Oryzias latipes: one gene and its partners. Each later gene encodes a partner of the first gene's protein in a complex. Links are inferred from orthologs where the notes say so. Each region holds a gene or a part of one and is shown in the gene's direction. Other genes may lie near its edges.

Evidence for each region. Proteins that work in one complex are often made in the same cells at the same time.
Region 2: tmem67 (region 1) and tmem107 share a complex: the UniProt entries of both Homo sapiens proteins name them as parts of the tectonic-like complex. The link is inferred for Oryzias latipes from reciprocal best matches to the Homo sapiens genes TMEM67 and TMEM107.
Region 3: tmem67 (region 1) and tmem231 share a complex: the UniProt entries of both Homo sapiens proteins name them as parts of the tectonic-like complex. The link is inferred for Oryzias latipes from reciprocal best matches to the Homo sapiens genes TMEM67 and TMEM231.
Region 4: tmem67 (region 1) and transmembrane protein 216 share a complex: the UniProt entries of both Homo sapiens proteins name them as parts of the tectonic-like complex. The link is inferred for Oryzias latipes from reciprocal best matches to the Homo sapiens genes TMEM67 and TMEM216.

The regions. Positions count from the first base shown.
Region 1 is NC_019874.2:17,681,173-17,688,749, forward strand, and holds the start of tmem67 (meckelin), read left to right. Parts: upstream 1-3,508; 5' UTR 3,509-3,541; coding exon 3,542-3,743; intron 3,744-4,610; coding exon 4,611-4,705; intron 4,706-5,459; coding exon 5,460-5,550; intron 5,551-5,675; coding exon 5,676-5,775; intron 5,776-6,687; coding exon 6,688-6,751; intron 6,752-6,848; coding exon 6,849-6,920; intron 6,921-7,003; coding exon 7,004-7,066; intron 7,067-7,322; coding exon 7,323-7,477; intron 7,478-7,577. Other genes in the region: uncharacterized protein LOC101168649, read left to right, coding at 279-649, 749-853, 995-1,088, 1,307-1,350. UniProt on the Homo sapiens protein: Required for ciliary structure and function. Part of the tectonic-like complex which is required for tissue-specific ciliogenesis and may regulate ciliary membrane composition.
Region 2 is NC_019874.2:18,547,693-18,555,217, forward strand, and holds tmem107 (transmembrane protein 107), read left to right. Parts: upstream 1-3,413; 5' UTR 3,414-3,720; coding exon 3,721-3,807; intron 3,808-4,137; coding exon 4,138-4,205; intron 4,206-4,286; coding exon 4,287-4,387; intron 4,388-4,628; coding exon of another isoform or gene 4,629-4,725; intron 4,726-4,801; coding exon 4,802-4,898; intron 4,899-5,061; coding exon 5,062-5,131; 3' UTR 5,132-5,483; downstream 5,484-7,525. Other genes in the region: tripartite motif-containing protein 46, read right to left, coding at 11-106, 190-336, 425-623, 1,399-1,549, 1,894-2,152, 2,863-2,922; krtcap2 (keratinocyte-associated protein 2), read left to right, coding at 6,344-6,347, 6,877-7,031, 7,219-7,282, 7,477-7,525. UniProt on the Homo sapiens protein: Plays a role in cilia formation and embryonic patterning. Requires for normal Sonic hedgehog (Shh) signaling in the neural tube and acts in combination with GLI2 and GLI3 to pattern ventral and intermediate neuronal cell types.
Region 3 is NC_019864.2:27,555,157-27,562,821, forward strand, and holds the start of tmem231 (transmembrane protein 231), read left to right. Parts: upstream 1-3,323; 5' UTR 3,324-3,602; coding exon 3,603-3,741; intron 3,742-5,433; coding exon 5,434-5,600; intron 5,601-7,665. Other genes in the region: gamma-aminobutyric acid receptor-associated protein-like 2, read right to left, coding at 1,869-1,924, 2,674-2,707. UniProt on the Homo sapiens protein: Transmembrane component of the tectonic-like complex, a complex localized at the transition zone of primary cilia and acting as a barrier that prevents diffusion of transmembrane proteins between the cilia and plasma membranes.
Region 4 is NC_019868.2:30,551,627-30,559,097, reverse strand, and holds transmembrane protein 216, read left to right. Parts: upstream 1-3,129; 5' UTR 3,130-3,679; exon of another isoform or gene 3,680-3,802; 5' UTR 3,803-3,877; coding exon 3,878-3,887; intron 3,888-4,185; coding exon 4,186-4,199; exon of another isoform or gene 4,200-4,270; coding exon 4,271-4,364; intron 4,365-4,388; exon of another isoform or gene 4,389-4,469; coding exon of another isoform or gene 4,470-4,509; coding exon 4,510-4,602; intron 4,603-5,385; coding exon 5,386-5,587; intron 5,588-5,653; coding exon 5,654-5,669; 3' UTR 5,670-5,789; downstream 5,790-7,471. Other genes in the region: transmembrane emp24 domain-containing protein 9, read right to left, coding at 1,321-1,470, 1,595-1,741, 1,818-1,943, 2,146-2,246, 2,762-2,894. UniProt on the Homo sapiens protein: Part of the tectonic-like complex which is required for tissue-specific ciliogenesis and may regulate ciliary membrane composition.

The DNA.
Region 1 (7,577 bases):
CAAATGCTGGATTTAAACATATCTGGGTTGTTGTTGTTGTTTTTTTTAATTAGGTTTTTCTGTCTATTTTTTGTCTCAATTTCTTATCTGAAGCCTTTTAGTGTAATCTTCAAAACGTGTAATGCTTTGAAGCGTTGTGGGGGGAAAAACCAATGTGTTTGCTTTAAAAATGTTGGTTAAAATGTGGCAACTTTGATAAATATTTTTTGTGACAAGTCTGTATTTATCATTTTGATATAGCCTACGCTGCTGCTTTTAATAAATCACACATCTTCCAGGTCCGAGTTTTTCCAACTCAAGGTTTCCTGGGGAGTTTTCTGGTCATGGTGGTCCTTTCACGGACTATCAAGACAACGAATATGGGGATCCCGAATATGAAGACTACCAATCAAATGAAGATTATTCTGGCCTTGGCATGGATTGTGGAGCTGTTGGACATCCCTCATCTGTGGGTGGAAATGGTTTTAACCCTGGTGGAACTGAAAGCTTCAGGAGTGGACCACTGAACAAGAGCTCCAACAAAATGCATCCAGGGTTCCAGGGCAGGCAGATGGGTGATAACTATATGAACCGGCCACCTGAGAGATCAGGAGGAATGGGAGCAGCTTCACACAGCAGTACACTTTCCAGTACTCTGCTCACATACCTGGTGGGTTTTTAGCTCCTTCTCAGATCCACTGAACATTTGTAAAAAATACTTTTTTTTTCCGTTTAAAACATAAAACTAACTTTGAAATTATGTTTTTAGGATTCGTTCCGGATACAGAGTGAGAGCGATGCTCAGTTGGTGTTAAAGGTGACACAGAAGTTAACTGATGTTTTGATGGAGTACCGACTAAGGACCATATCACCGGTACAAAGCTTTACTCATTTCTCTAAGTGTGTATTTTGTGTTTAAGTACATTTTTATTTAGCTACTTCAAAATGGAGAGAAAAAAGTCACGATTAATATTTAAATGTTGAAAAAACCTAATTGTAGAGTTTTTTGTTTTAGGGTCCAACTCCAAGCAGTTTGCCTATGAGCTCCTCAAGCTTCTCCACTCCTACCAGAACACCAAGCAGTAGTGATCGATACTCGAATGTCTCAGGTACAAGAACCCAAATTTACTTGTCAAAATCAAAGCCTGATTGATTTACACCTGGTTTTTATAGAATATTTACATTTTATTTGTTCCACACAAGGCATTTGTCACATAAGAAATACAAAACCAGGTAGAAAGAAATCACTGTTTAGGGGAATATCATTAAACTTTTAAGAGTGAAAATGCATTTGAGATTTTGTAATGTTTCTGATGTCTTGTTGCAGGTCCATCCAGATATTCTGATGGTCCTCCAAGATTCTACAAATGAGCAAAAGATGGCATCCTGGTTTCTTCATGTCACTTCTACCCACAATCAAAGACTTCTGGGATGATTTTTCTACTATATACATTTTGTTTTTGTTAGGCTCTTTTTGTTGCTTTTTAACGTTTTTCCATCCAAGGGGCAAACCAGATTATTTTTAGGAGCTACTTATCCCTGATGTGACTTTCTGAGTTGAACTTTTGAATATTTAGCAATTGTTTTATTCAATAAAGTCAAATAACACTTTCAAAAATGAAATTTTTTATAAGGCTCAACTTAAAAAAGGGGATAAAAACAGCACACCCTTCTTCATCAAGGTAAGGCTAGGTGCGGTGGAGAAGATCTGGGACAGCATCCTCCACTCCCACCCTCACCCTATACGCAAATTGCATGTTGCACCTGTTGCTTTAGCAACTGCAGCACTAACCTCTCCAGTTTCTATTTTGTGAGAGGCCAATGCAATTGGTATGTAGTCCTTATATACCCCTAGGCTGCTTGGCCTTGGGCAGAGGAATGACGCACGAGGTCTTCCAGAGTGTTGGTATTATACCAAGGTGCACGCTCAGGTTAAAGAGGTGCTGGAGGGGACCTCCTAGCTCATCTGCATATGTCTTCAGGAGCCTGGGCTACACCCCATCTGGGCTTGCTGCTTTCCTGGTCTTAGGTTTCTTCAGCTCTCGTCTTACCTGATGTTCAGTAAAAGGACTATAATGAGGGAGAGCTGAGGCCAACAGTGCAGGTTCATTTGTAGAATGAGGAGGAAATAAGAGGAAACAAGGTGAGGTAGATGATGCTTGTATCTGTTTTGATCAAAATCACAGCTTCCATTTTGCCTTTTGTTGAGGAAATGTAGTTATCAAATATATAATTTTTGAATAAAACACAGGTTTGTATAAAATATGCTGCAAAAAAAGTAAGTCACACAGTCAACCAAAGTTAGCTGGGTGATAATACACTTGAAGCCCCTGCAACTGCTTTGAAGTCTGACATAAACAATAAATCACACTAATAAGCTGCACATATTGGGGCATGATGTGGTTGTACTTGAAATGGACGAGTACTGGTGATGAACTTAAATTGATCTTAGGTCACACTAAACCTGGTTGAAGTAAAAGTGAAAGATTTCCTGTATACATCTATGATATTTAGATTTAAAATTGGCTATCTGTTTTAAATGTGCTAATAAATCTTCTAAAACCTGAATCAATGTTACATTTCTATATTAAATGCTAAACCTTACAAAATAAAATTAATGCACAAAGATTTTCACAGCATGGAGACTGACAAAAAAACATCAGGTCCAAGCTGAAGTTTTTTTTTTCATTGATTGCATCTTCAGGAAGGAGCTTGATAGACCTTCACAATAACCTTGATAAAAAAATAATATTGCAAAATAATTTAGTCTGAGGCTAAGATGATATGTCTGGGTGGATGGTTTGAGGAGGCAGATGTCGTCTGCAAAGCAAAGTGTTTCTGGGTCATAAATTGACTTCTTTGTGACCCAAAGACGGACCAGCTGAAATGAGTGACAGAAAAAGAAAAGTTAGATTTTAATCCACAATAGCCTCTGGTCTTTGAAAAAGAAAGCTTTAAACTTTCAATTAAAATTGTTTCACTACGAGGTCAAATTGGTAAAGATCATTCTGCTATCTGTACCCCCCCCCCCCCCAGCTCAACTCAAAGTCTCTGTTGTTTCTGAATGTCTATGTAATCAATAGCAGAACATCAACAAACAAGAAAAAAACTAGAGCTAAAATTAAAATCACTGAGTCGAAAGTCACAAAAATATACTTATTTTTACTTGTGGACAAGGTTAAGTATTATAGTCAAATATACACATACATATATATATTGTTGCTGGAAGAGGCAACATTAATCCTTAGAGCTGCCTATATTTCGTTACAGAGAATCCCATTATTGTTATCCTCTGTTAAGACATCTTTTTAAAAGTATGAATGAAAACCATTATTATTTGATTTAGTCTATGAATCTTTGAGATTCTTCAAAGAACTTCAAAGAGTTTAAGAGTTGTCTTTTTTTATTCTTTCACAACATTAGTGATTTATTTATTTATCCTCACGGTGTCTCCAAGATGTTCTCTCCCCAAAAGAACATTTTAAACTTTTTTTTAAGTTGGAACGCCCTACGTCATGACGTGTTGCAAAGGATTGTGGGTAAAAAGGAGGACATTTTTACCATGGCGACGGGGACGCCGCTTGTTCTTGACAGGCAGATGTTTTGTTTTACATTGTTTTATGTGATTCATACGCACCTTTTCCATTGCCAGCAGTTTCTTATCCCCTTTAAAGATCCTTCCGGATGTGGTGTGAACGAATTTTTCGACATCTCGAGTTTGTCGTGTGCCAAATGCGGCGCAAATCAACGCAAGAGTTCTTCAGGTGGGTATCGATCACCACGCGATAAAGCTACATGATACAGTGTACACACTGTAAACATACCAACATTAGTGTATATATCTAAAAATAAAAACAGATAATTACATTCAAACGAGTTAAGCTCCAGCTGTTGAACAACCTCGAAGAAGTAAAAGCCAATTTGGTTCTAATTGTTTTCTGTTGCTAGCAGTTAAGATAGCCTTTACTTTACTGTATCATGTACATAAAGAAATTATTCTTAAAGAAAGTTTTTGTTAATCCAAATAATGTTTTAATATGTACACACTAATATATTATAGACTATTTAAGATTATTTAAAGTTTAAAACCTTAACCTTTAAGAACATGTTATAGCATGTGGTCTAAAAATCATATTTTTAGAAGTTTAATTGAATTACCATAAATATTCCCTAACTTGTATAGGAAAAATGGCATAAAGCTAAACAAGCAAACTCTGTTCAGCTTTAATGTTCAGAACAAGCTAGTCTCATTTCATTTTTCATGAAACAGGAAAGCTAATCATTTTTATTCTAAACTGATAAATGTTTCAAACTAGTTTAAATAAATGTACACTGACTGTTCTTATATGGACCTGCTTTGAGAGGCCATATAGGATTGCACTATTAATGTATGATTTGTTTAAACATACTGTTGTATCTAGAGAGACGGTGTGAATCTGAATTGACCCTCATCAAAACATCAACCAGCCTCTCTGGGTTTCTTTCTTTTTAAATTTAAATTCAAAATGCACAATATAGTTGTTGCAAGGATTTTTAAAATAAGATTTTTATTTAACTAAATATTAGTATTTCCTTTCACCATTGAAAACAATATTATTCTAAACTATAAAGAAATGTCTTGTCTTATATAGGTCTGAGCTGCATTTGTCAAACGGGTTACAAGACCAAACATTTTAGCAGCAACAAAGTCCCGTTTACATGTGAACAGTGTCCCCCAGACAAGCCTGTAAGTATAGCTTTCTTTCATAATGAATGTTCTGATTCATGTTTTTTAAAACTACTTCACAATTGAATCACTTAGTTCAAAAGGGGCCCAAGTCCACAATTTTTCAAAATAGAGACATTATATGTTCTATGGTCTTCAAGGGAAAAGCTATCTGATTATGTGCAAAAAGTCCCAAGTCCGTTGTAATGTACTGTCTATACTTGACATTTAAAATGCATTAAGTGCAAAATTCCTGAACTTGGGCCTTTCTTGCATGGGTTTTGCTTTATCCCATAGATGGCAGCACTAATTATCCAATATGGCAGCGCCCCTGTCAATGCAAGGGTGGGGTCATCTAAGATAGCACAAGGGTTAACCCTTGTACTATCTTAGATGGACACCAGTGAGGTTCAAAAATAATTGAAGAGAAAAGGTTCAGCGCACTGACTAGTGGGTCTAGATGACCCAACTCCTTAGGATAAAATGCCTAGGATAGCACAAGGGTTAATTCAAGAAGGGCCCAAGTCCAGAGACTTTAGTTTGCTAGTCCTCTGAAATTATAAAAGTGAGCTGCTTCATATTATAGCATTTGTAAGCTATGAACTGGTGCTAAATCTGGGTAAAGTATTAATCATTTAGTGTAGCCCCCCTTTAAGCTATGCAATTAAAATCATTTCCTGGATTAACAAACCTCTTGGACTTGGACCCCTTTTGAACTAACCGATTCAATTGATATAAATAAAAGTGCTTATTGGTGTCCTGTCCTTTATTATAGGCAGTAACGAAAGACGGCTTTGGTTGTATTCGCTGCCCCGGCAGACTTGATGATAATGGCAACTGCCAGTGCCCATCTGGAAATATCCTAGGTGAGTTACCAGTACAATGAGAGGTTTACAACCCAACAAAAAGGGTTTTCCCTAAAAGCTGTAAATAAGGGTAATTGTAAGTTTTTTGGTAGAAAACTTTTATAAATTTTTCTTCTTTTTCTCAGTTGAAAGAGACATTAATGGCACATTTTTTGATGAGGCCAGTTGTGAAGCATGCATTGGAGACAGCCCTGCCTTCACTGCACCAAACAGTAATGGGGACAGGTAATTATATACAGTACAGACTTAATATTCATGAGAATTTCATTTAACATATTTTACTTAATAGAAAACTCTAGTTTTCTGAGAGGAGGTGCTTTGTGCTACATTTGCACTGTTAAATAAAAATATTTAGGGATTTACAAAGCGGAGCGATTTTCATTATATTGCATAGTGGGTCATCTTTACTTTAGTGGAAATGAAAAATAAAAGTCAATAAAAAAGTGATTTTTTTTTTGTTTTGTTTTAGTATAGGGCAAAACAAATTTGACAATTTCTTATATTCTTGTTGTATCTACAAATATCTATGAAATCTTTTTTAAACTTTTGCTCCGATTTTCATTATTCAAACAAATATAAAAATAGTTAAACATGTATGATTTGTTGTATTTCCTCATATCTTTATCTCTGAGTGTTAATATTTACTTTTGTGTTATAAAATTGTGTTGTGTCATTGAAAAGTGTAAATGGGTAGTTTCAGCAGGAATGTTCAAACTTTGAGTTTGCCCAGAAGTTGTTCTGGACAAATCTCAAACGTTTATATACTGTATGTATTAATTTTGTGGTTTTTAAAACAGTGACATTATCACCATAAAATGCTTCAAATAGCAAAAATATTATGAGAAGACAATGTGTTACAGGGTAAATAGCTTAATATCCAGTAGTTGTTTATTGTTTTGTTTTTTGAATTTCTTTACTGGTTTCTGCTTTTTTCTTCTTGATTTCCACGTGTTTCTAATGAGCACGAGCTACATTTTCTTATGCTATAACAATTTTCTCTTTTTATGCCATATTGGACCATCATACCTGCTCTCCATTACTACTGTAGAACTGTTGGTTGAGTTGATGCAGTTAGAGAAAAAGTTACCGGTAATCGTTTTTTTTATGAACAATACAATATCAAAAATTATCTTTCAGATGTGAGCGATGCCAGGCTACCTTCTCTAATACCTTCTGTACGTGTCAATCCCCAAATGTCCAGGTGAGTTTGGTCATCTACTACCCGCACATTCCCTAAATCCACAGAAATCTGTTGCAGTCACAAAATCACAAATGATTGTGAATGTAATTTTTTGCAGGCTGGAGGTTTATGTTTTCCTCCAGGCAGCTTCTCCACTAATGTGAATCCAAGTGTCAGCTATGCTCAGTTGGTAAGTCAAAGTGTAATTCTCTTCCTAGAAAATAATACTTGTATGTTTTTCCTGCTTGTGATTTTCTTTCATTTTCTTCACAGGCGTTTAGCATCCAGTCTGCCTGGTTTGTGGAAAACCTCTATTCTTCTGCAGCAGCTTGCCTTGTAATTTCACAGCCTTTACAAAACTTCTTTTTCTTAGAAAAATTATGACTTAACATGTTTGTTTTTCTTGAAGTCAATTTCCTTCCTAAATTTGGACAAACAGCTTTAAATGTTCCCATAAACAATCGTTAGAATTCTTACCGAAATTATTTTTAGAATGTACTGTAACAGATTTAAACATACGTTTTTCACCAAATTAATTTTGTAGTTAGAGTTTTATTAAAAGAAAATCATATTTTTGTTTTTTTCCCCACAGGTCTTCAGCAACTTGACAGCGTGTCAGGCTCTCGGAAACATGTGTGTTATGAACATGCACTCCTTCACTGGACTTTCCACAGATGCTTGTGGTCTCTTTAACACCATCTCTAGGTCAAAGGCTGCTCTGAGCTCTGTTCAAGACATTTCTTACTGGTATTCACGTTTGATTTGGATTTTCCTTTTTTACATTGTTCATGCAGCAATTACCTTACATTAAAAAAAACAGACACTAAACAGATATGATACTCTTGTC
Region 2 (7,525 bases), about 870 kb from region 1:
CGTTGAGCACCTCCATCTGTTTGATCGCAGCTTCCAGCTGAGTGATCTGATTCTGTATGGTCTCCTGATTGGTCAGAATGAAGTTGACTTCTTTTGCCATCTTGTCCTGTAAGGTAAATCCAAATAAATTTGGAGCTGGCATTGCAAAGCAGAGTGTGGATGCTTAACAGACGCAGATTACACACAAACCTTCAGGGCCTGGTAGGCCTGTGCTATAGGCAAAACCTTGTGTCCATGGTGGGCGCGACCAAGTTTACAAACCGGACAAAGCAGTCTCTGGCAGCTGCGGCAGTACCACTGCAGCCTCTCCTGCTCGTGCTCTGTGCAAGTGAGGACCTGCAGAACAAAGTGGGATCGGCGCATGGCGGTTTAGAGGCAGAGGCACAAGCCGTGGCGAAAACTGGCCTAAAAAAATAAGTCAAACCTTTGGTCTGAAGTTGTTGGTGGGTAGAATGTGTTCGTGCTGAGCGCGAGGGGTTCCCCATGGATGATAGAGTTTGAAACATTCATTGCAAAAGTTGGATTTGCAGTCAGCACAGCCCTTAGTGGCCTCCAGAGACTGAGGAGGTTTACAGAAGGCACACATGATGGCCACGCTGCCCAGACTTATAGTCTGCCTGTACCTAAAAGAGAAACAGAGATATGAGCGCAGGCCAGAGACAACCCTGCAGGATAGAAAACAGACCAGAAGAGCCCATTTAGGAGGAGTTGCAGTTGGTACCTAAGTAAAGCATCTTTTAAACGCATGACCTAGATTATAGGTCATGCATTTAAAATATGCTTTACTGCTGATTTATCTAGGTCCTAGATGAATCACCAGCAGCTGCCTTGTTGGAGCATCCCGCACAACATGCAGCGTCACGCTTTCTTGACTAGCACAACTGCTGCCTAAGGAGGGAGCAGCTGCACCCATCAGCGTGCCTCTTGTAAATCTGCCAACCCTCAAAACACCAAACCAAGGCCTATTTTTAAAAAGCAGCTCAATGCATTTTAATCTTATCAGATTATATTGTTTTGGGAAAGCTGCAAAAGTTTCATTTTAAACTTGTTCACATATCTTTCAAAGAAAATAACGTGTAAAAAAGCTTCTTTTTCTTCCCCCTGGCATTCTCCCTCAGTACACTGCAGTTTTTAAGCTGTCCTTGCAAACCGCTCTTTGGCTTAGCCTTTCATCCCGAGTGAGGATGGGATTCATTAAGCAAATGACTTCCTGTCTCATACATAAAGCAGCATTGACGTAACTCTTCACTCAATGTCTTAGTTTAATGCTTTAGGATTTTGCGTTTCAGAAAGTCAAAGATAAGCCGCAAGGCCTAAAAATATCTCTCGAACTGAAGTAAGGAGTTTGCAGTAAAAGTACATTCTAATTTCATCCTCTTTTTCTTTCTGCACGCTAACCTTTCCACAATGCGCTCCAGAGTGAGGTTACGGAAGCAGTCTGACAGGCCTCTCTGCCCGAGCTCCACTTCCTGCTGACAGGAAGGACAGGGGAAGATCATGGGGGGAAGAGTTGTGTCCTTCCGTCGCCGCCCTGGGTATGTGCTGCACACTGAGAGCAGAATGAAGGTGTAAATTGGCAATTGGTGAAAAGAGATACACAGAGGAAAACAGGAGTCATACATTATAAAATATGACTGTAGGAATTTTAAATACAGGTCTTTACATTGATGCTCACCACCTCCATGAGCTAAACACATTCATTTGAAGACCTACAGCCAGACACTGATGTGTCAGTTGATGATGATGCTGCACCACATCGGCGGCTCCATATTTTTACATAACAGTATAGTCATTTGAGTGCTGAGGCCATCTGTTTCTTTTCTCAGATGTGAGGGGGAAAAAAGCTCCTGAAAGGCATCCTAACCTGAGTCATGTTGAATCCACTTCCCTCACCTGTTCTGAGGACCCGCTCCAAGCGGTCAGGAGTCCTGGGTGTGGGTCTGTGAGTTTGGCGTGGGGACCGAGTGTTCGGCGAGGAGGCTGGTGATCTGGGTTCCGGAGGGAGGTCTGGAGGAGGGTAGCCTCTTTGTACCAACACCTCGGCCGCGCACAGCAAACACACACTGTGCTGGCATGGCAGGAGGACGGGCTGCTTCACGATCTCGTCACACACCGGGCACAGCAGCTCCTTTTCCATCATCTTCATGTTGGACTGGAGAAGAGGGAAGAGGAAAGTTCAAGAAGACAACAGAGCTGCGACTTGATTTAAAGAAAGGAAATGATGGCAGTGATGAAGGAAATATCTAGATGAACTCTGGTTGTGTGCCGTTTATTGCACAGGACAAGAAGGAAAGAAGAACGTAACCTCCATGATGCTTAGCAGTCCTCCTGTGATTGCTTCACTGCTTCCTATTTCTAAGAGTAAATTGGCTGAGACATTATTTTTAATAAAAAAAAACAATTCAAACAATGCAGAAACATTCTGTTTGCCATTGATTGTTGCTTCTTTTTTTTTTAGGTTGTGGTGGCCCCTTTCCATTACTGCAGCCACAAGGCGCGGCATCCGGTTTCTATGACAACGCACATCTTCCTCTGGCCCTGATTTTATGCTATTTGGCAACATTCTTAGGTTCTTATATCTATTAAAAATGAATTATGTGGTCGTTGCGACTGTATATTTTCTATTGCCATTCACCACCTGACTGTGGCTTTCAGCCTATTCCGGGTTATTAAAGCGATGACAAAACATGTTTGTAAACGGTAGAAAAATGCTCCGCATTCTTATTTCATAGCCATGATTGTCCAGATCAACATACTATCAATAAAGCAAGTTATATGTAAGACTACATTATTGTTTTTCCTCTCTTAGATGTAGCACGTTTGAAATGGCTATATTAGAATAAACCGGCGTCGCACACTTACACTGATACGAACCAGCGCGTCCATGACAGAGGTAAAGGTTTGGAAGTCCTCTTCTGCCATGCTCTGTTGTTCTGATGTGCACGCTTCCAAAGAAAAAATGTTTCGTTTAAAACGATTATTAAGTGGGTGTGAAAAATAATCCCCGGCTGTTTTGTAGCAAACACTAGGCCCTGACGTGCACAGATAGCTGTGCTTGAGGTGTGCTGCTCAATCTCTGTCGTCTATCCAAATGCGAATGGAATGGTTGCTGAAACTGGTGGAGGGGGGTGGGGGCGTTTTGCCCCAAAATGTTAGCTTTATCGGGGAGCGTTTAAAAAACATTCTTTTAGAAAATAAAAACAAAAAAAAATCGGCTTTTCTACGTTCTTTAGATACGCGAGGCTATGTTCATCCTACAATCACACGTTAACTTTGTCATGTTTTATTTTTGTGTGTGTGTTGTCGTTAGATGCTAGTGTTGTGTGCTGCTTAACAACAAAGGCGATGGGTCGCATCCACTTCCCTTTTGTGTCCGGAACGTTTGGAAGGTGGATGTTTTTACGGGTCGCAATATTGGATGCACCCAGCCACTGGCTGTTGTAGCAACCCAATGCGACACCGGGGTGTGTTAAATTTCTATGTATAATTTTGTTTAGAAAAAAGACTATTAAAGAGTAAAATTTTAATTTTATAAGTTCATTGGCTTTAAAAATGCTTGATTATCATTTTTGGATTATTTATTGAACCGCGGTTGCGTTGATATACCGCGAACCAGGAGCGACGACTGTTGTGTGAGATCTGTGAACTCCAACGTGACCGTTTGGCTTTAAAATTTAGAATTTTCTAGCATTTCTGACACTTCTGTGAACCAGAAACAACATGTCTTCTATTAGCAGTCTAATTCCTGCGCGGTTTCTCACCATCATAGCTCACCTTGTCATCGTCATCACAATCTTTTGGTCCAGGGTAAGTAAGGACAGTCCGTGTTGTTGTTAAAGCTTGAAGGACGACTCAAGCTGCCATAGAAATATTTTTTATTATTATTATTAATATTATTATTGTTTTTTGTAAATATCAATAACGTGTAGTTTGTGATTTTAAAATAAAGAACAAAAGTTTTTAAAAAAATCGTGAAATAGAAATAAATTCTACTCCACAAAATATTTTTCCTAAACTGCAGAAATATAGATTTTTGTTTGCTGCAAAAAGTTTATTTCTCCTTTTTTTTATAAACAATTTTTTATCTAGAAATGTTACCATAATCGGCTATTTTATGTATTTGTTTCTGTTTTCTAGGAGAATAATGTGAAGGCATGTTTGCCTTTGGAGTTTACTCAGGAGCAGTATGACACAGAAGACAGAAAGTAAGTAACAAATGATTGAAAATATATGAAAAAATCTTGAATGCTCACATTCTAACCCGCATCCCTTTGGTTATTGTTCAGGTTGGTTGTAGCCTTGTCAGCCACTCTTGGTCTGTTTGCTATCGAGCTAGCAGGCTTCTTTTCAGGAGTCTCCATGTTCAGTTCCAGCCAGGGTCTTCTGTGTATCCTTTATACTGACAGTGATGATTCATATTTGTCATGGTCATTGATACTGAACTATTGATTCACAATTGTGAGGAAAATAAAGATTTTCAGATATTGTCTTTTCTCCAGCAGCTCTAGCTTCTAAATGAGCATCTGGTTTATAGCAGAAAACATGATTTACAAGAATAAATGAATGGATTAAACAATGCTTATTAGTCATTAGTTACAATTCCGTAACTAAGAACTTGTCTGCTATAGCAACAGGAGTCCATGCCAGTGCCTCTGTGGCTTTGCTCTTTTTTCTGTTTGAGCAGTGGGAGTGTGACATCTACTGGTGGATCTTTGCTATTTGCAGGTTAGTCTTTTGACGCCTAGCAAATCCGTTTTATCCTTTTTTCCCCAAAGTTTTCCCTGACAGCTGCTCCTTTCAGCATTAGCTGTCCACTGCTCCGCATCCGTATCTTTGTCTTTCTTTGTGTTTGAACAATGGGAATGCTGGACTTACTGGGTGATTTTTGCCACCTGCAGGTTGGTTCGCCTGCATGCTTGTTTTCAATGAATAGTTGGCTTTTAGAAAGACAGCATACTGTAACAGTCACTCTTATTTTGAAGGAATTTGAATGCATTTAAGGATTGTTCTTTTATCTTTCTGGATTTCTATTAATTTCTTTTTCTATTTCTCATCTTTCAGTGTCTTGCCAGCTTTTGTGGAGATTCTTCTGTTTATTGCGGTTTTTGGACTGAAGAAGAAGCCGTTATGAAGAGGAGTTGATTCAGATTGAATGGATGAACGCTTCCATTTGTTGCTACAAGACAGTAGCTGCAGAAATTCAGTTATTAGATCACCTTAAAAAGGGGCCAACATTGTTAGAATTTCTTCAGCAGGCATCAATAGATCCAGAAAGAATGTTTTTTTTTTCAATCTTTGTAAATATATTTTGAACTATGTAATTACAAAAAATAATTATACTATGTTGTTTGTTTTGAATAAGTTGGAGAGTTAGCAAAAGTTTAAAATGTAAACCAAGTTTTTTGTTGTCAGTAGTGTATTTGTTTCTCATGTAAAGCTTTTCAACGCTAAATCCAAAATACATTTATACTTTTTTAAATAAGTCTTATTTCTCTCATTGTATCTATCTTTATCCTCATTTGGTGACTTAATTGTCAGAGAAATATTAACCAAACTGAGCCAGAAGATAAATTAAAGTCGGGCGACAAGAGTATCCAGAACCGCAAGGTTACAAAACATGAAACAGTAACTTCATTTTTGTGCAGCTATCAAAAAAAAGAAACAGTATTTAAAATTGATTTAGGGAGGAAAAATCCTTTCCTAAATTATTAATGTAGTGAGACATGTTGTAATATAGAAGAATTATGTCTATGAAGACTCTCTTTCATCCAGGTTGATTCCATCATAGTAGTAAGTTTAGGGGCTGTCCTCTTAGTTTTTAAAGTTAGAAAACGTTTCACCTCTTATCCAAAAGACTTTGTCAATTTTGTAATATAGGCTAAAAAAGAAAGGTTTTTTGACGTAATGATCCCTCCCTTCTGCTTTTCTGCATGCAGCTGCGGACAAACCATTGCAGTTGTGATAAACAGAATCAGGCCCTGCATTTGGTTCTGGAAAACACAAACTGAAATGGCCAAAGTATCAAATCCCTTTAATTCTGTAAATCTTTTGTGTAATTAAAAACCTGAACTCACAAGTAGTTTTATGTTGTAAACAATTAAAAATGACTCCAGTCAATGGTTGAGCTTTATGTCTTTCCATAAACACTTTCGTTAATTTAATTTTTTTTAAAGAAAGTATTTTTCTAAATGCATAGGTCCCACCCTCTGGTCCTTCCGGAAAACCTGTCCGGGTAGTCAAATAGTTCTGTTCCTAGTGCAGTACCGGATCCTTGCATGTCTTTAGAGAGTTTGCGTATTCTCTCCCGTTTTTCATCGAAAGAATAACATTTTAGCAGCAGCTAATGGGTTTGTACATTTAAGTTTTATACCAGAGAAACATTCTCTTTTACCACGCTTCTAAATATGTTTTTTTTTAATGTTCGTGTGTTGTGTACTGTCTTGTTGTTCTGTTGAGGCAGCTAGCTTTATGTGAACTATGATGGAAAATAGTTTTGCCATCAAATAGGTCGTGTACGGGCTTTTTATGTGAACAAATGTGTCAGGAATTTTGACTGTATACAATGGAAACGTTTAGATTGTTGCGTATAATTTGGGTGTTTTAGCTTGAAGCTAACAGCTAACTCGGAAACATTTGCGTGTGAACACTGACGTGGCGTAAGGTTTTAGCGTTCCCAAAACCAGAGTTTAATTGAATGACTTTTTAAAGTCAATGTTACAAAATTATCAAATCTGTGAGGTTTGCATAATATTTTCTAAAATTGAGATGTATTCGTCAGTCAGGCGGCTTTTGATTTTAAAATTGCTCTAGATGATATGATCATTCTGGTTTTAGGATACTTTGCCTTGTTTTGACGGCTTTTTTTGGTGATTGCAGCGGTGAACACAGGCACGTCTCTGGTGCTCTCCAGCCTCCTGTCAGTGTTGGTTTTTGCTGGAATGCAGATGTTCAGTAAACAGCTGGCATCCACTGAATGGTTCACCATCCTTGGAGGTTTCTTGGGCTCCGTCCTGTTCATCTGCTCACTCACTGTATCCTTTGAGTAAACTTACACAATTGTTGAGATATGCTTAAAAACAGTTTTCATATAATATTCTCTTTTTTTCCATTGAGTTGTATATGATCTCAGCCTTTTTTCACCAAAAACCTGTTAATTCTTTTTAGAAAGTATCTGAAAATACCATTCTAGACTGTGTTTCTCCTTAATTGTACTTCTAGGCCTTTAATAATCTGGAGAATCTGGTGTTTGGGAAGGGATTCCAGGCCAAGATTTTCCCAGAAAGTAAGTGTTGAAAGGGGGAGAAAGTTGACCTACTTCTCATCCATAGCATTACCGAGTCACATGAACACTAATAGAACAGCAGATCCTTCTGAAATATATCTGGCAGTCTAATTAAGTGTATGTGTAACTTAGCACCTACATTAGCACCTTATGTCAGACTGTACTTTTAACAACTTCATTCTGTCAACTTCCAGTTCTGTTTTGTCTGTGCCTGTCGATGTTCGCTTCCGGCCTGGTGCACCG
Region 3 (7,665 bases), on another chromosome or scaffold:
ACACTTGACCTCAAAGATTGGATTTCGTTTTTTGTTTTTATGACAAAAAAAAAAAGGAAGTGGCTGTACGGTGGTGCAGTGGTTAGCACTCTTGCCTCACAGCAAGAAGGTCCCCGGTTCAAGTCCCGGCTGGGGGACATGAAAAACACATCAACAGGGGACCTTCCTGTGTGGAGTTTGCATGTTCTCCCCGTGCATGCGTGGGTTTCCTCCGGGATCTCCGGCTTCCTCCCACCGTCCAAAAACATGCCTCATAGGTTGATTGGCAACTCTAAATTGTCCATAGGTGTGAGTGTGGGAGTGAATGGATGTGTGATTGAAGATATTCTACCCTGCGACAGACTGGCGACCAGTCCAGGGCATCCCTTGCATATGCCCAAGTGGCTGGGATAGGCTCCGGCAACCCCGTGACCCCGAAAGGGAATAAACGGTAAAGAAAATGAATGAATGAATGAAAAACGGATGTGATGGTGTTCGGTCCAAGCAGCTCCTGTGACCCTTCCTCAACGGCTCCACATTTAAAACAATGTATGTCTAACCTGGGATTTAAAACAGAAAAGGACTTTAAACATGTCTGAAATTTAGCTTCTTTTATTTGAGGCAGTTGGTGGGGGTGAAATCATTTTTACCAAAACGTCATATTTTGAGACAGTAATCCGTACTTTCATCACACCTCAGATGAATTACTGTAACTCTCTCTATTTTGGAGTCAGCCCGTCATCCCTCTCGCGTCTCCAACTGGTCCAGAGTTCTGCTGCTCGGGTTCTGGTTCGTGCTGGCTACACTTCACTGGCTGCCTGTGAATTTTAGAGTTCATTTTAATGTTCTTTTATTTGTTTTTAAACGGGGTCCAAGAGGAAACTCAGGGGGGAATAGAGCTTTTTCTGTCTGTGCACCAAAGCTGTGGAACGCTTTACCACTGAGTATTCAGCAGGTATCTTCAATGTCCATTTAAAAAAAAGTTTTAAAACCCATTTTTATCACCAGGCCTTTGACACGGCATGAGACTCTGCTCTGCTGGTAAGTTTTACTGCTTTATTGTTTTGCTTTGCTTTTGTTTGATTATTTTACAATTTTAAATCACTTTAATTGTTTTAGCCTTTTAGCTGTTGTTTTTTTTTTCTTTTGAGCTTTTAATGTACGGCGCCTTGTTTGACTGCAGTCATTTTAAGGCTCCATGAAATCGATGAAACTATACTGGTTTCACTTTGTTTTTTATTCATTCATTTAAATTTTGTCTGTACATTTCTGGTCTTTGCTAAAAAAATTCATACACAAACATTTGATTTGACTCCAATTGTTGTGATTCTAGCAGGATAAAAAGACCTCCTCAAAGGTGGAATTTCTTTTGGTTTTTAGTTTTTTGTGGAAAAAGAGACTGGAGTTTGAACTAAAAATAGACATGAAAAATAGTTTGAGGTACATTTTTTAGAACAAGCTGTAAATAAATTAGTAAAAAGGCTCAACATGGCCTCGGACTGCGAAGGGTTAAGACACTTTCTAAAAGTAAAGAACATTTGAGGGTTTCCAGGTCTGTTCTGGTCTAAAAGCGCCTCCTGGTCTCCAGGAGGAGCTGGAGAAAGGCATGCTGGCTCTTCACATCAGTGAAATATGAGAGGTGATGGAAAATGGAGGTCATGTTATCCACAAACAAGAGCAAGTGGGTACATAAATGTGAAAGCTCTTTTGTGTTCATCGGTCATCTTTGTAATTTGAGAAAAAGAGGAATGACGTTGCACTCAGAAGATGCCTGACTTATCATACATAAGCATCCAGGCTGGTTGGATGTCAGAGATTTCGGTATTGATTCCCTCTGATCATCTCTGCATTTCCATTTCCGATAAAAGCACCCAGCCCCCACAACTCACCGGTACTCTGTCCGGGTATTTGTTGCGTATTTTGGCTGACTCCACACATCGGTGCTCTGAGGAAAGAGACAGCAAACAAACAGGAAGTCAGAGATTAAAGGGATCAGTGCGTCCTCTGGGGATTTCCTGTCTTCAGCCTTGAACAAGCACAACACAAGATGGGGGAAGTGTATGTTTCCCACTCATGATCCTCTGTTTCAGAGGAATAGTACAACATCTTCATGCAAATTCATTTCAGACACATGGATGTGCAGGGAGGATGGGAGGAGTGAGTGAGTGAGGGGAGGACTCCATCTAGGTTCATTAGCCCAGATAAAAGTTCTATCTTCAGAGGTGCTTCTTTAAAAAAAAAAGAGTCCTCAAGGTTATCCAATTACCATGAGAATGACAAGACAAAACTTCACAGAAGGATCTTATATAACACAAACTAGGCCTAATAGAAAAAAACAGTAAAAATAGATTAAAAAAAAGGTTGTTTTTTTTTAATCCACCATACTTTTTTAAGTAATGCATGCAAAATATTGAAATTAAAGCAATACTAGATGATGATGCAATGCTTTAAATGGCGTTTCTCTTGAGGTGATCCTAAACAACCTGCAGCAAATGCGTGTTAGCATGATCATGCCAAGCTAAGCAGGATCGATTTCCGGCAGGCTCCTGCGAAAACCCCGCGTTAGTGTGTCTGTGATGGGTGGTGGAGCCACATCGAAGGACACACAGTCCGCGGAGCAAAAAGGAAAAACACGCGACATGAAAAGAGGACATCTCTCTCTGGTTTCATAACAACAACCCAAACCCTTTTTACCGAGGGAATGGTCCTCTTTAAACATCCATTTCATCTTTGCTGGATTCCCGCACTGATGCGTGACGGCAGGGGCGAAAGGCGGGCTTCACGATCAGCTAACCCTGTTGGGGGTTCAAACTTGCAGAAATCCTGCCCAAAGCGACCAAAACAAAACGTCAACAAAGAGCTTCTGTTGCTCAGCTGTCCGTCTCGCGGAGAGGTGACGTCACCGTCTGGCTGTTGGTGCTCCTGGTGCGTTCAAGTGCGCCCAGCAGTGCTCGGTCCAAAAAAATCCTTGTAGTTGGGGCTGTTGACAGACACGCATTAATATCTAGTTTCTACATTAATATCCTTCTAGTTTAATGAAAACAACACCAAAGAAATACAAAATTAATACAGTCAGACTGAATAAACAATGAAACAAAAATGATACATTGAAATGCCTTAGAACGGTCATGGGCATTTATTATTAGAAACACAATTGTATAAAAAATTTTAATGCTTTTATTTGAGCTTTTATTTAAAATTAATAGTTCCCATAACAACGTAAAAAGATAATAATATATGGGAATTTTCCAGGCATGAAATGAAATAACTACTTTTGTGCTTTTACTTAATTTCAGGACCACAGAAGAGTTTCAGCATTCCCCACAGTTCATGAATGCATCCTGAACCATGGTAGCCATGGAAACCGAGGGACGCTGCAGAAATATGGCGGGGGGCTCGTTTCCTTACATGTTGCAGGGGCTAGCAAAATAGCATTTCAACGCGAAAAGTTATCAGAAAAATATGAATTTACTGGCGTTTAGAATCCAGAGGAAGATTTTTTGGAGTTTCTTAACGACCAGTTTAGGTAGTATCGACATTTTTACGCCGGTAATCATTTAGTCCGCTACTAGGTTAGCATCTCCAGCTGTAGCCTTACAGCTAGCTGTCTTTACACCGAACGTATGGCTTTCTACGAAGTGTACTCTCATCCGGCTGTAATTCGGTACAAAACCAGTGTTTGCACAAAGGCTACGCTGTTCCTGGTTGTTGTTTTGTGCCTAACCTACATCCCACCTCTGCTTGTTGCTTATAGGAGTCAAGGTACAGTATATATATCGAGGCTTTAAAGTGTCCATTTATTTCATTTTGAACAAAAGAATATATTATGTTTTTGTTAAAGTCTTTGTTTATGCTAGAATATAAAAAAAGGATTTTTATTATCTATATTACTTTACACGTTACAAAGCCTATGAGTAAAGCCAGGGCCTTTTAAATAAAGTTTTATTAGTCCAGTAAAAATAACAAATTAATAACATTTCAGCAATATTTCATTCCATTTTTACTCAGATTTATTTGATTTAGACAACAACTATTCTCTTTGAATGCATATGAATAAGCTTTTATATTAAATAACCCAAGTTTTTACAACTTTTGCTTTAAGTCTAGATATGAGTTGTTTTCAAAATGACTAAATCCATTTGTGTCTGTTGAAAGATTAGCCTTAAATCTGTTGGATGTGTTTTGATTTGATTGATGGATTTCATGCAGCTTTCAGCTCTAAAATAAAACAAAATATATACATATATATATGTGTGTATGTATATATAGTATCATTTTAAAATATTAGTTCCTAAACTGGTTTGAGAAAAATAAAATGACAGAAAATGTTTTTATACACTTGACATTACAATGTATCATAAATAGGTATATCTACACCTATTCATACAGTACACACGTGTGCAATACATTGAATCCATAAAATATTATGTTTTTTAAATAGAGTTTGATTAATTGGGTGGGAAAGAAGTGAATTTATAATCCCACACCTATTAAATTTTACCAAACTTTTTTTTTTTTGACATGTTTACAATTTTCTTCCAAATAGGTGGCCGAGCCTTTTCAGTGAATGGGGATCGCTGCAGTGGGATCTTCTGGGTCTGGTTCTTGCATCTGGGGAGTCCTGTAGTGTATTCTGTGAACTTGGGTGGGGCTCACTTGTGAGGACGGTTTATAATTTCCCCACAAAGCCGGATTTCTACTTTCTACTTTGCATCATTTTAGTGAATCATTTGATGCACTACTATAGTGTGCGTGCATGTGTGCGTGCATGTGTGTGTGCGGCGGGGGGCATTTTATGCATTGTATACATATTTTTTGTCTTGCTTTTGGTTTTTTAAAATTGGATTATGTTTTTATGTAAAACACTTTAAGTAACTCAAGTTGGAAAAACTGCTCTATAAATAAAGTTTTATTTGATTTGAATGTTTCAAATCCATTACAGGAACAGAATTTACGTTGTGTTATTTTCATGCTGGCTTTCATTGCACATTAGTGCCTTTGCTTGTAATACAACAGTAACCCATATTACCATTCAAAAATGCCCTTATTAATGCTGTGGAACAAATGTGACAAAAATGCTGCTATTTTGAACTGAATTATTCGAACATATTTGGTAAATGATGAATTATGCTTTTAAAACGTCTTCTGTAATTTTTAAAAATGGGTTCAAATGTAAAAAATGCCATGGAAAAGTCAGAAAAGTTGTTGAATTCTGGGTACATCAGATGGACATGTTTTCTGCATGACAAACCTTGTCAAGAAGCAAATTCCATTCCAAAAAAAAAAAATGAAGCAAATTCTATAGGAGATTGTGGGAAGTTTGGCTGAAGGATTCTAATAGAAATCTTATGCTATTTTATGTTTGGTTTTTGGTTTGATGGTAACATAGAATTAGAAGAAATCTCAACGTCAAAAAGTTCCTAAAACCTTATAGTTTTGTTTTTTCAATTTCAGGTTTCTGGTTAAAGCGAAGCACGTATGAAGAACAGCCGGTTGTGAGGTTTCAGTACCAGACTCTGATGGTTGCAGCCACCGGCACTCAAGGGGACTATGTGGCCTGGAGTACCTTCCCACACCTCAACAACATGCTGGGGCCCAACCTGCGGATCCCTGCCGTCTCTGTGAGAACACATTTGTGTATCACTGATATGTGTGACACTTTTTCAAGTCTTAAGAACCACATTCCTATGTCATTGTGTAAGCTGCATTTCAAAGCATTGCTCCTGTTGCCATGGCAATCTTTCATTGATTAGCCCTGATGAAAAGCTGGTCCATGCTTTTTGTTTCTATACTTTAAACCAAAACCTTAATGTGTCTAAAATATTTCTTTAAGACAAATATCTATTACCAGAAAAGTATGTTGCTGTGCGTTTACACACAAACCCATTTACCTAAAAATGATCAGAGTACAGACAAAGAGAAAGTACTTCTGTAGATCCACACACAGTTTTTGAAGAAAATATGACCAATAAGGTGTTAACACTGTGAGAAACGAGTTTTTTTTTTAAACTCAAGTCCACTTAGAATACTTACTGGCCCGCTGGGATCTTTGGCCCTTTTGAAATATAAGGTTTGTTCTTAAATCACATCACATTTTTGCTATACAGGCAAGCGTTTCAACCAAATGAACCCAGAAAGTTGTTGCTGCTTCACAGATTTTATTCTCACCTCATTTTCTCAATAATCGTGTTTACCATAAAAAAATGGATTCTATATAACCGTTAGAAACTAAAAAGGCTAAATGATCCGCATGGGTGCTTCTCCAAAGACGAACCACTAACCCTTAATTTAGAGGAAAGTGAATGAATGAAAAAAAACAATCCAACCTGTCTTTAACTGTCTCTCACAAGCTCCATTCTACATGTTATTCAGAAATTCTAGAAATGTCAAGGCGTGGAAATGTTCTAGCAGTTACAATCACTGCCTGAGGATGGAACTGTCAGAGGATCACAATGTACAGCAAACGTATTTACCCCCTCGGAAGTTTGTCACTTTTGTTTCCTTGATAAATTACTCACAGTCAATTAAATAACTAGAACAACACCCTTCAATGTCAATGTGAAAGCAGATTCCTACACAGTAATGTCATGGAAGTAAAAATATGAAAGTGTTGATCAACAGTAAAGGGCATAACTGTTGTAAGACTAGAAGGAATATCAAAGAAAACTTTGGAAAAGCATGCTAACAAATATTTAAAATAAGTTAGTTAAGTCTTGTTGGCCAACACAAAGGTTAAGATTTATAATGGTGTTTGCCGAGATTGTAGACATTTGTGAGCGAGACATTTATTTGGGTTATGTTTAACACACAAACTTAAAACATCAACACAAGTATTGACAATTAACAATGTCAGCATAAACATTGAACAAAATTAACCGAAAAAGGTGTCGAGTGAAGCCAAGGCTTATTTCCCGACCCTGATTACAAACGTCACATCTACCTACAAATTGATAGAACCTTGAAAAAAAAAAAAAGAAAAAAGAGGAAGAAAAAACGCTTCTTAAAATTACTTCACAACCACAAAAGTCTCTCACTACAGAAGGAATTTTGATATATTTTAAATGTATACATTATTTTAAACTAATATATGGAGTTTGTGTTCTTCAGATCGTCGGATAATAAATTCCACATGTTGACCCACTGAACAAAAATACTATTCTTTATTGCATAAGTTCTGACCACTTTGTTTTTAAACATATCTTTACCCCGAAAATCATAATTATTAACTTTAATTTCAAACAAACTCAGTATTTTGGCAGGCACACATTGTTTTTCAACTTTAAACATAAAAATTCCGATGCTAAGATCAAGTAAATCCAAAAATTTAAGTGCCCTTAATTTTGGAAATATTTGTTTTTTGTGGATTGATTGTATGAAGAGTGATTTAAGTGCTCAATAATCGTGTTTACCATAAAGAAATGGATTCTATATAACCATTAGAAACTAAAAAGGCTAAATGATCTGCATGGGTGCTTCTCCAAAGACAAACCACTAACCCTTAATTTAGAGGAAAGTCCATGCATGGAGCATCAGCAGACTGCACACGTCTCTCCTTTCTACGCATCAGCTTTTAAGAGAGTTTAGCCTAAAAGTGAATTAAAAAAAAACAATCCAACCTGTCTTTAACTGTCTCTCACAAGCTCCATTCTACATGTTATTCAGAAATTCTAGAAATGTCATGGCGTT
Region 4 (7,471 bases), on another chromosome or scaffold:
TTGAAAAAACTTTATTTACAACAATTATCAAAGTTAGAAGATGGAGGAGCATCTCTGAAAATGAAGATTTGCAGAAAACAGAACAGTCACCTAAACCTCCTTCATTTATCTTATTTACACTGAACGTTTCTTTTGTTCAGAAATGTTGCTGAAGAAAACGACGAATATTTGTCCCCATTCTCTGTTTTTCATTCCAGCTTTCTTATTTTAGAGGAACTGAAATATGAAAAGTGGCCGTTTTGAATCGTACGTGACTAGATACACCATCTAAAATGTTAATTCACTACATTTTAGATATGAACATTATTTATAGGAATCACTTTGCCTATTTTTTTCTATTGAATATTTGGCTTCTTGACCATTCTGAATGATTTGATGAACATTTAATGGAATCACAGAAAGTAGAAACATTCAGAGTCGACACAGACATTCATCCATTTTCTATTCCGTTTTTCCCTTTCGGGGTCACGGGGCTGCTGGAGCCTATCCCGACCACATGTGGACGAAGGCAGGGGACGCCCTGGACAGGTCGCCAGTCTGTTGAAGGGTAGAATGTCCACAATCACACATCCATTCACTCTCCTAGGGACAATTTAGAGTTACCATTCAACCTATGCAGCATGTTTTTGGACCCACGCATGCACAAGGAGAACATACAAACTCCACACAGAAAGGTCCCCATTCATGTCGTTTCTCACGTCCCCCCAGCCGGACTTGAACCGGGGGCCTTCTTGCTGTGGAAATGATGTGAAACGTTTTCATCCCCTTTTCTCAGAAGTGAAGGTTTCTGTCTTTGATTTGGACCCGCCTCAGGACCAAGGCGGGTTTGCCGTCGGTCCCTCTGGTGCTGCTGTCACTTCAGATCAAAGTGGAGACCGACTTCAGCAACATTCAAAACACCCAAACCTTTATTGGGAGCGTGTTCAGAGCAATGTGGCGTGCAGCCTTCACACAAACAGCAACAAAACCTCCACCGACCACGGCGGGCGGCGGATCTTCAAGTTCATGTGAACCTGGAATAACAGCATTGAACAGCTTCGTTTGATAGAAATCAACTTTAATCCATCCTCTCACAAATAGAAACCAAAGTCCAAAACCCAAAAAGATTCACCAAATGAAGGTTTTCTTCTGCAGAAATCAAAGCTGTGATGTCTGCAGAGGAACAGTTTTTGTGCTTCCAGTAAAGCCGCCGTCGCTTCACTTCCTGGGAAATCTCGCGTGCTCAGTAACAAACTGGCAGGACCCTGCTGGACCAAGCAGAGGCTCTTCAGACAGGAGGACAGACTTTCTGCAGAGCGTCTGACCCCGCCCCCTCCAGACCTAGACCAGCTTCTTGGCCTCAAAGAAGCTCTTCAGGTGTCTCATCTGCCAGATGCCGATGGCCACCAGGATGAGGGTCTGGACGATGGACCACCACAGGACGCGCTGGTTGGTGCTCTCGCTGGTCTGGCGGAAACGCTCCTCGCGGTACTGAAAGCAAACGGACAGCAGGGGGCGCTCAGCTGGAGTTCTGCTGTGAAACCTCAAATCAGATGTCTGGACTCAGACGGAGCATCTGCTTCCTGCGGGTTCTGCTCTGCTGGGCTTCACTCACCCTCTGGTAGTTCTGCTCCTTCTGGATCTGGTCCACCTGCTCCACCAGCTGCCGGACCCTCAGCTGCAGCTCCGTCAGCTTGTCCTTGGCGGCGATCTCGGCGTAGTTGTTTGCGTGTTCGCCCACCTGGATGTCCAGGTGAACTCTCTGCGGCAAACAGACGGCGGTTAAAGCCGTGGGTGTGAAGGTAAAGGGGCGGAGCTTACGCCGACCGCCTCCTCACCAGCGTTCCTCCCACAAACAGGGAGAACTTGGAGGAGTTGGAGTGCAGGCAGATCTGGTGCTCTCCGGGCGTGTGCGACGTGAAGGTGAAGCGTCCCTCCGAGCCGTACTGCCGAGACAGGATCACCTGCAGGCGAGGGAGGAGCTTAGAGTCCACTCCACCAAAACCTCCACAGAAGACTAACAGCAGCAGCTCCAAGTCCTCCTCTGGATGTTTACGGAGGTCAGGACGCGGTTGCCGTGGTTACAGAGACCATCTAACGAAGAGACCTTCCTCAAAGTGAGCATCACGGCACTAACGTGTCAGGAGGACCTCCTCCGGCGCTTACCTTCTCGTCAGGATCCTTGACCTCCACAAACATGCCCAGACCCGGGCTGGCCGGCAGGTACTCCTCCTTCTGCTTGTCGTACAGCTGCGTGCGGTAGTTTCCTGCACACAAACACAAGCGCCCCACAGTCAGTGACAACATCCGGCTGAACGCAGCACTTCCGGTCCTTGGACGCGCTGGTCAGGACCGTTGGACCCGCTTTCCCGGTTCTGCAGGAACCTCAGGGAGCGACCGGTCCCAGACAGCTCCTTCAGAACGAACCATCATCAACTCTGGTCCGGACCTCCACCTGCTGGTTCCTCCTGGAGGAGCTGCCTGCCCATTCTCCAGGAGAACCGCTTGGGTTCCTGGTCTAGGTTCGGGGAACGGGCTGGATTCTTCAGGCGGTTTGGTTTGTTATCCGCGTGCTGATAGGATGAAGTTAGCTTAAACCGTCCTCCGTTCCCCGGTAAAAGACCGATCCTACATCCTCACCAACTTCTACTACGAGGTGTTCGCCAACGTCTCCGTTCATCAAACGGTTCACTAACTACTTCTGGCGGCGTTGGGAAACTTTTTGACGGCGAACCGGAACTTTGTGAGCGTTAGCCGCGCGGCAGCTAGCTTAGCCGCTCACCGATGATCATGGTCTCGTCCGGGATCTCCTCGATGAAACATTTCTTCTCGAGCTCTCCGATGTGGAAGTAGAGCGCGGGCGCGCGGCTGCAGAAGAGCGCGAGCAGCAGGAGCGCCAACACGCACGGCTGCATGCTGATCCGGACCGAACCGTCTTCCAGCCGGAACCACCGAGCTCAGACGGAGTCTGCGCGTCCGCAGCAGTGCCACGTAAACCCTGGCGCGCCTTCGACCAATCAGAGCGCTGCGATGGCAAGCTGGGTATTGTAGTTGTGTGCTGGGCAGAGCGGATGACATCAGAACCAGATTGTGAAGGTTCCTCCTCCTCCTGGAGTCACTGTGGGTTTTTTAATTCAACTTCAAAGGATTACACATTCATGTAACTACAATAGAAAGACATAACAAAAGAAAAAAAGAGTAAGATACAAGACAAATAAATAAATAACATTAGAACCGTAGTTCAGAGAACTAGGGATTGTCATTTAACATGTGATCTTCAATGAAAATTGACAGTTTTATTGCATTTAAAATATAAACAGATCTCTTTATGAAATGTATTGAATAATGATTTGATTTGTAAAAATCTGCCTTTTATAGATGAAAAATTTCCCAAAAATTAATAAAGTATTAAATGCCAAACTAAATAAGTTATCACCAGAAACGACTCCAAATAATACAATGTGTAATACAATGTGTTTTGTAACCAAATAGAAATAAGAAAATTTGAAGAGAACCACCAAAAGAAATCCTCCCAAAACCTGTTAGTATTTATACATTTAATAAACAGATGATCAAGTGTTTCTATGTTGATGTCGCAGAAAGAACAGTTATTTTCTTTAAATGAGGTCTCTGAGGGTCCAACAGGAAACAGCAACAGAAACCCGCATGTCACGTGATTTCAGACCATTGATGATAAAAGGTAACATCGACTAATTATGTATTTAGAGTGATTCAGTGGTGAAACTGAAGAACATCCATTAATAAAATAATGTGAAATTGTTTCAAATATTAGTGTCTTCTGTTTGCTCATCCTGACCAGCAGGGGGCAGCACGGAGCCCCGCCTGACGCTGTCCAGGGAAGAAGAGCCGTTTCCATAGCGACCACAGCGGCTCAAACATGGCGCCTGGTGAGTGTTTTCTTATCATCGTCGCAGAAAGAACGGCGCAAAAACCGCAGGCCGTCTTTCCCCGTCATTTTTCTGCAGCTATCAGAGACGGACGGAAACACTTCCGGTCCGCCGTTGATTTCCGGTTAGCGGCTAAAAACATTCCCACTCGGTGTTTACCTCTGAAACGTTCTTAAACCACCGTCTAAAGCTAAAGATAATCCGGTCCAACAACCGTCACGTCTCCTAAACGCTTCTTAAGCCTCACGTTCAGTTTCACTCTCAGTTTGACAACATTTTTGTCTCACCGCGTCTGCAGGGAGCCGACCAATCGTATCCTTCTGCTGTCAGAGGGGGCGGGGCCTGTCCACCAGCCGCAGTTGTCCTTGACCACGCCTCCTCAGCTGTCCTCCACGCCTCTGCAGGTGCTGCTCTACCTGAACAGCTGGTACTTTGCCGCTTTCTACCTGGCGGAGATCCTCATGTTCATCTACAAAGGTGTGTGGCCCCGCCCCCCTGCAGGTTCACCACGGCTTCACCTGAGAATGAAGCCGAAGGTGTCGTAGAACCTCCAGCCTGTCCTCTGTTCCTCTGCTGGACGTCATGGAGGAGCGTCTGACGGTTGCTGCTGGTGTCGCTGCAGGGATCCTGCTGCCGTACCCGTCTGACAATCTGGTCCTGGATGTGGTCCTGCTGCTCCTCTTCCTCGCTCTGGAGGCTCTGCGCATCTTTTACGGTGACGCCAAACACAAACATCTGCTTTGCTTTCTCCAGAACCGCAAGTGCGGCTGAGAGGTTCTGGAGAACAAAGATGGAACATGCAGGATGAAGAGGATGCAGACGGGCCTGACATTGGTGCTGGATGAGCTAACGTCAGAACAATCACGGTTCTATGCTAGCATGGAAGTGTCAGAAAGACCAAGAATGTGGTTTTCAGATTTAAAAAGGACTTCAGAGCATGAAAGGCATGCTGGGATGTGTAAACGATGATGATGCTGGAGATCAAAGCAGGAAGAAGCTTGGTTCCGTGTGTGAATGTGTGACCTTCATCGTTGTGTTCGGAGCTCCGCCTCTGAAGGTTCTGTTGAAGCGGAACCTTCGGTGCAGAACCTCTCCACGCCCGTCTGAGCGGTGGTCCAATGAGGAGAGAGCGTTCTCACTCTTCACCTGGACGGCCTCCCAGACGGAGGTGGAGGGTTCTCCTCCTGGGTTCCAGGGTTCTGTCTGTGGAAGTGACATGACCCCCCCCCCCCCCCCCCACGCCAGAATTTATATCCAGCTATGAAAAAATGATCAGTTGTGTTTTTGCTTTCAAGTTGAGGCTAAATGAAAGTCGGTTTGAGGAGGAGTGGTTCTTCCTTGCACCAGTGGGCATGAAGGGGTTAAAGCATCTCTGCAGACGTTTGCTGCCTGGAAACATCAGACTCAAACCTGCGGCGAAGCGTTCAGCCGCTCAGGCTCTGTGCTGGTTCTCAAGGCCGGCTGCAGGCGCTGACGCTGTCCCCCTGTGTCGATTCAGGCTGGAAGGGGAACCTGTGTGAGCGCTCCCTGACCTCCTGCCTGTCGCTCTTCATCCTGGTCTCTTGTGCGGCGCTCGCCGTCTACTACCTGCTGCTGCAGACCTTCGTTCTGCGGCTGGAGTTCCTGCTCTGCGCCGTCCTGCTCTGCTTCTACGGCCTGGAGTTCCTGCTGGGATTCATCGCCTTATCTTCCTTCTCCAGGTACCCTGAGCCCGCAGGCCGGTTCTGAGAGCCGGGAAGTCTTTGACCCTCGATGTTCTTGTGCAGGTCCAAGGTGTACTGAGGACAGAAGAGCGGTTCTCTGGAGCCCAGAGGGACACCAGGACAGTTGTTAGCATATGTGCCGCTGACACAAGTTTCTGTGATTCTTCAGGGATTTTTGTAAATAAACATTTTTCTGCAGCTTTGTGAGTTCTGTGTGTCACCAAAATCAGATGAAGCCGGCCACGGGCCACTAGAACCTCCACAGGTCTGAGTTTCAGCTGGAAAACCTTTGATCTGTGTTTGCATGAAGGCTGTCCGTCCTCTTTTCTTAGGAATCACGAGGCCGTCCCTCAGCTGTCAGTGCGCAGAAACATCTGCGCAGAAACGCAGACGGGTCCATCTGCGCAGAAACGCAGACGAGTCAATCTGCGCAGAAACGCAGATGGGTCCATCTGCGCAGAAACGCAGACGGGTCCATCTGCGCAGAAACGCAGACGGGTCCAGAAATGTAGATGGGTCCAGCTGCGCAGAAACGCAGACGGGTCCAGCTGCGCAGAAACGCAGACCGGTCCATTTGCGCAGAAACGCAGACGGGTCTAGCTGCGCAGAAACGCAGACGGGTTCATCTGCGCAGAAACGTAGATGGGTCCAGCTGCGCAGAAACGCAGACGGGTCCATCTGCGCAGAAACGCAGACGGGTCCAGAAATGTAGATGGGTCCAGCTGCGCAGAAACGCAGACAGGTCCAGCTGCGCAGAAACGCAGACCGGTCCATTTGTGCAGAAACGCAGACGGGTCTAGCTGCACAGAAACGCAGACGGGTTCATCTGCGCAGAAACGCAGACGGGTCCAGAAACGTAGATGGATCCAGCTGCGCAGAAACGCAGACGTGTCCATCTGCGCAGAAACGCAGACGAGTCTCTGTTACACTGCAAAAAGAAAACTTCAAACCTGTTTCACCATCAGCTGCTTTCCCACTAAATGAAGTCTTTACAGAGGATTCTGAGTCCAGATGCTGCGGTTCCACCTGAAGACCGTGTCACCTGGATGGATGAGAAGAACCAAGTCAGCGAGTCCAGAAAGTTCTTTGTCTTCAAAGGTCAGAGAAACCTCCGGGCCTCTGAAGAGCCGTGTTTTTGCAAAAGTTCAGCAAACGTGACGTTTCTGAGCTTTATCAACTTCTGAAGGAAAACTTTCCTCCTTAAGCCGTCTCTAATCTCAGATGACTAATTTAACAGAAGGTGAACAGGAGAAATGTGAGCGGCGGCGCTGCAAAGAGGATCAGGGAAGCTGGATTCTTCCTGACCCAGGCGCCGTTGCGGGGCATTTGTTCTGCTTGTCGGCGTCTGATTGGCTGAGGCTGGTATTAAAGAGCTCGGCGTATCGGCACGCGTCCTCGTGGCTCCGGGTCAGAAAGCTGGGAGGTTTCATTACCGAGCCGGGCCGTTCTGCCACACTCAGGAAACAGAGCAGCATGACTGCAGCCGTCGCCATGGAAACGTCTTCTTTAGCAGAGGAGCGGCAAGACTCCAGCATCTGTCTGTGGGACCCTGGAACCAAACTTTTTCTCAAAGTTCATTTAAGAGTCATCTGAAAACAGGAGAACTTTGGTTTGAGGAGCTGGTTCTTCATCACAATAACCAGCTCCTCCTCCTCCTCCAGAGTCAGCAGTCAGGCATGGAGACCCATCCTCTCTGTTCTCATCTCTGATTCTTTCACTGGAACTAAACAGCTGTTCAGACAAACGAGCTCAGGAGACGGAAGGACAGAAACGATTAAAGCAGAGTGACCTCACAGAAGAAAACCTAGCTTTGATCAATCACCCAGAAAATCACAGGGTTCCCAAAAAAAAAGTGAAACTTCGGTGGAGGAGCAGAAACAT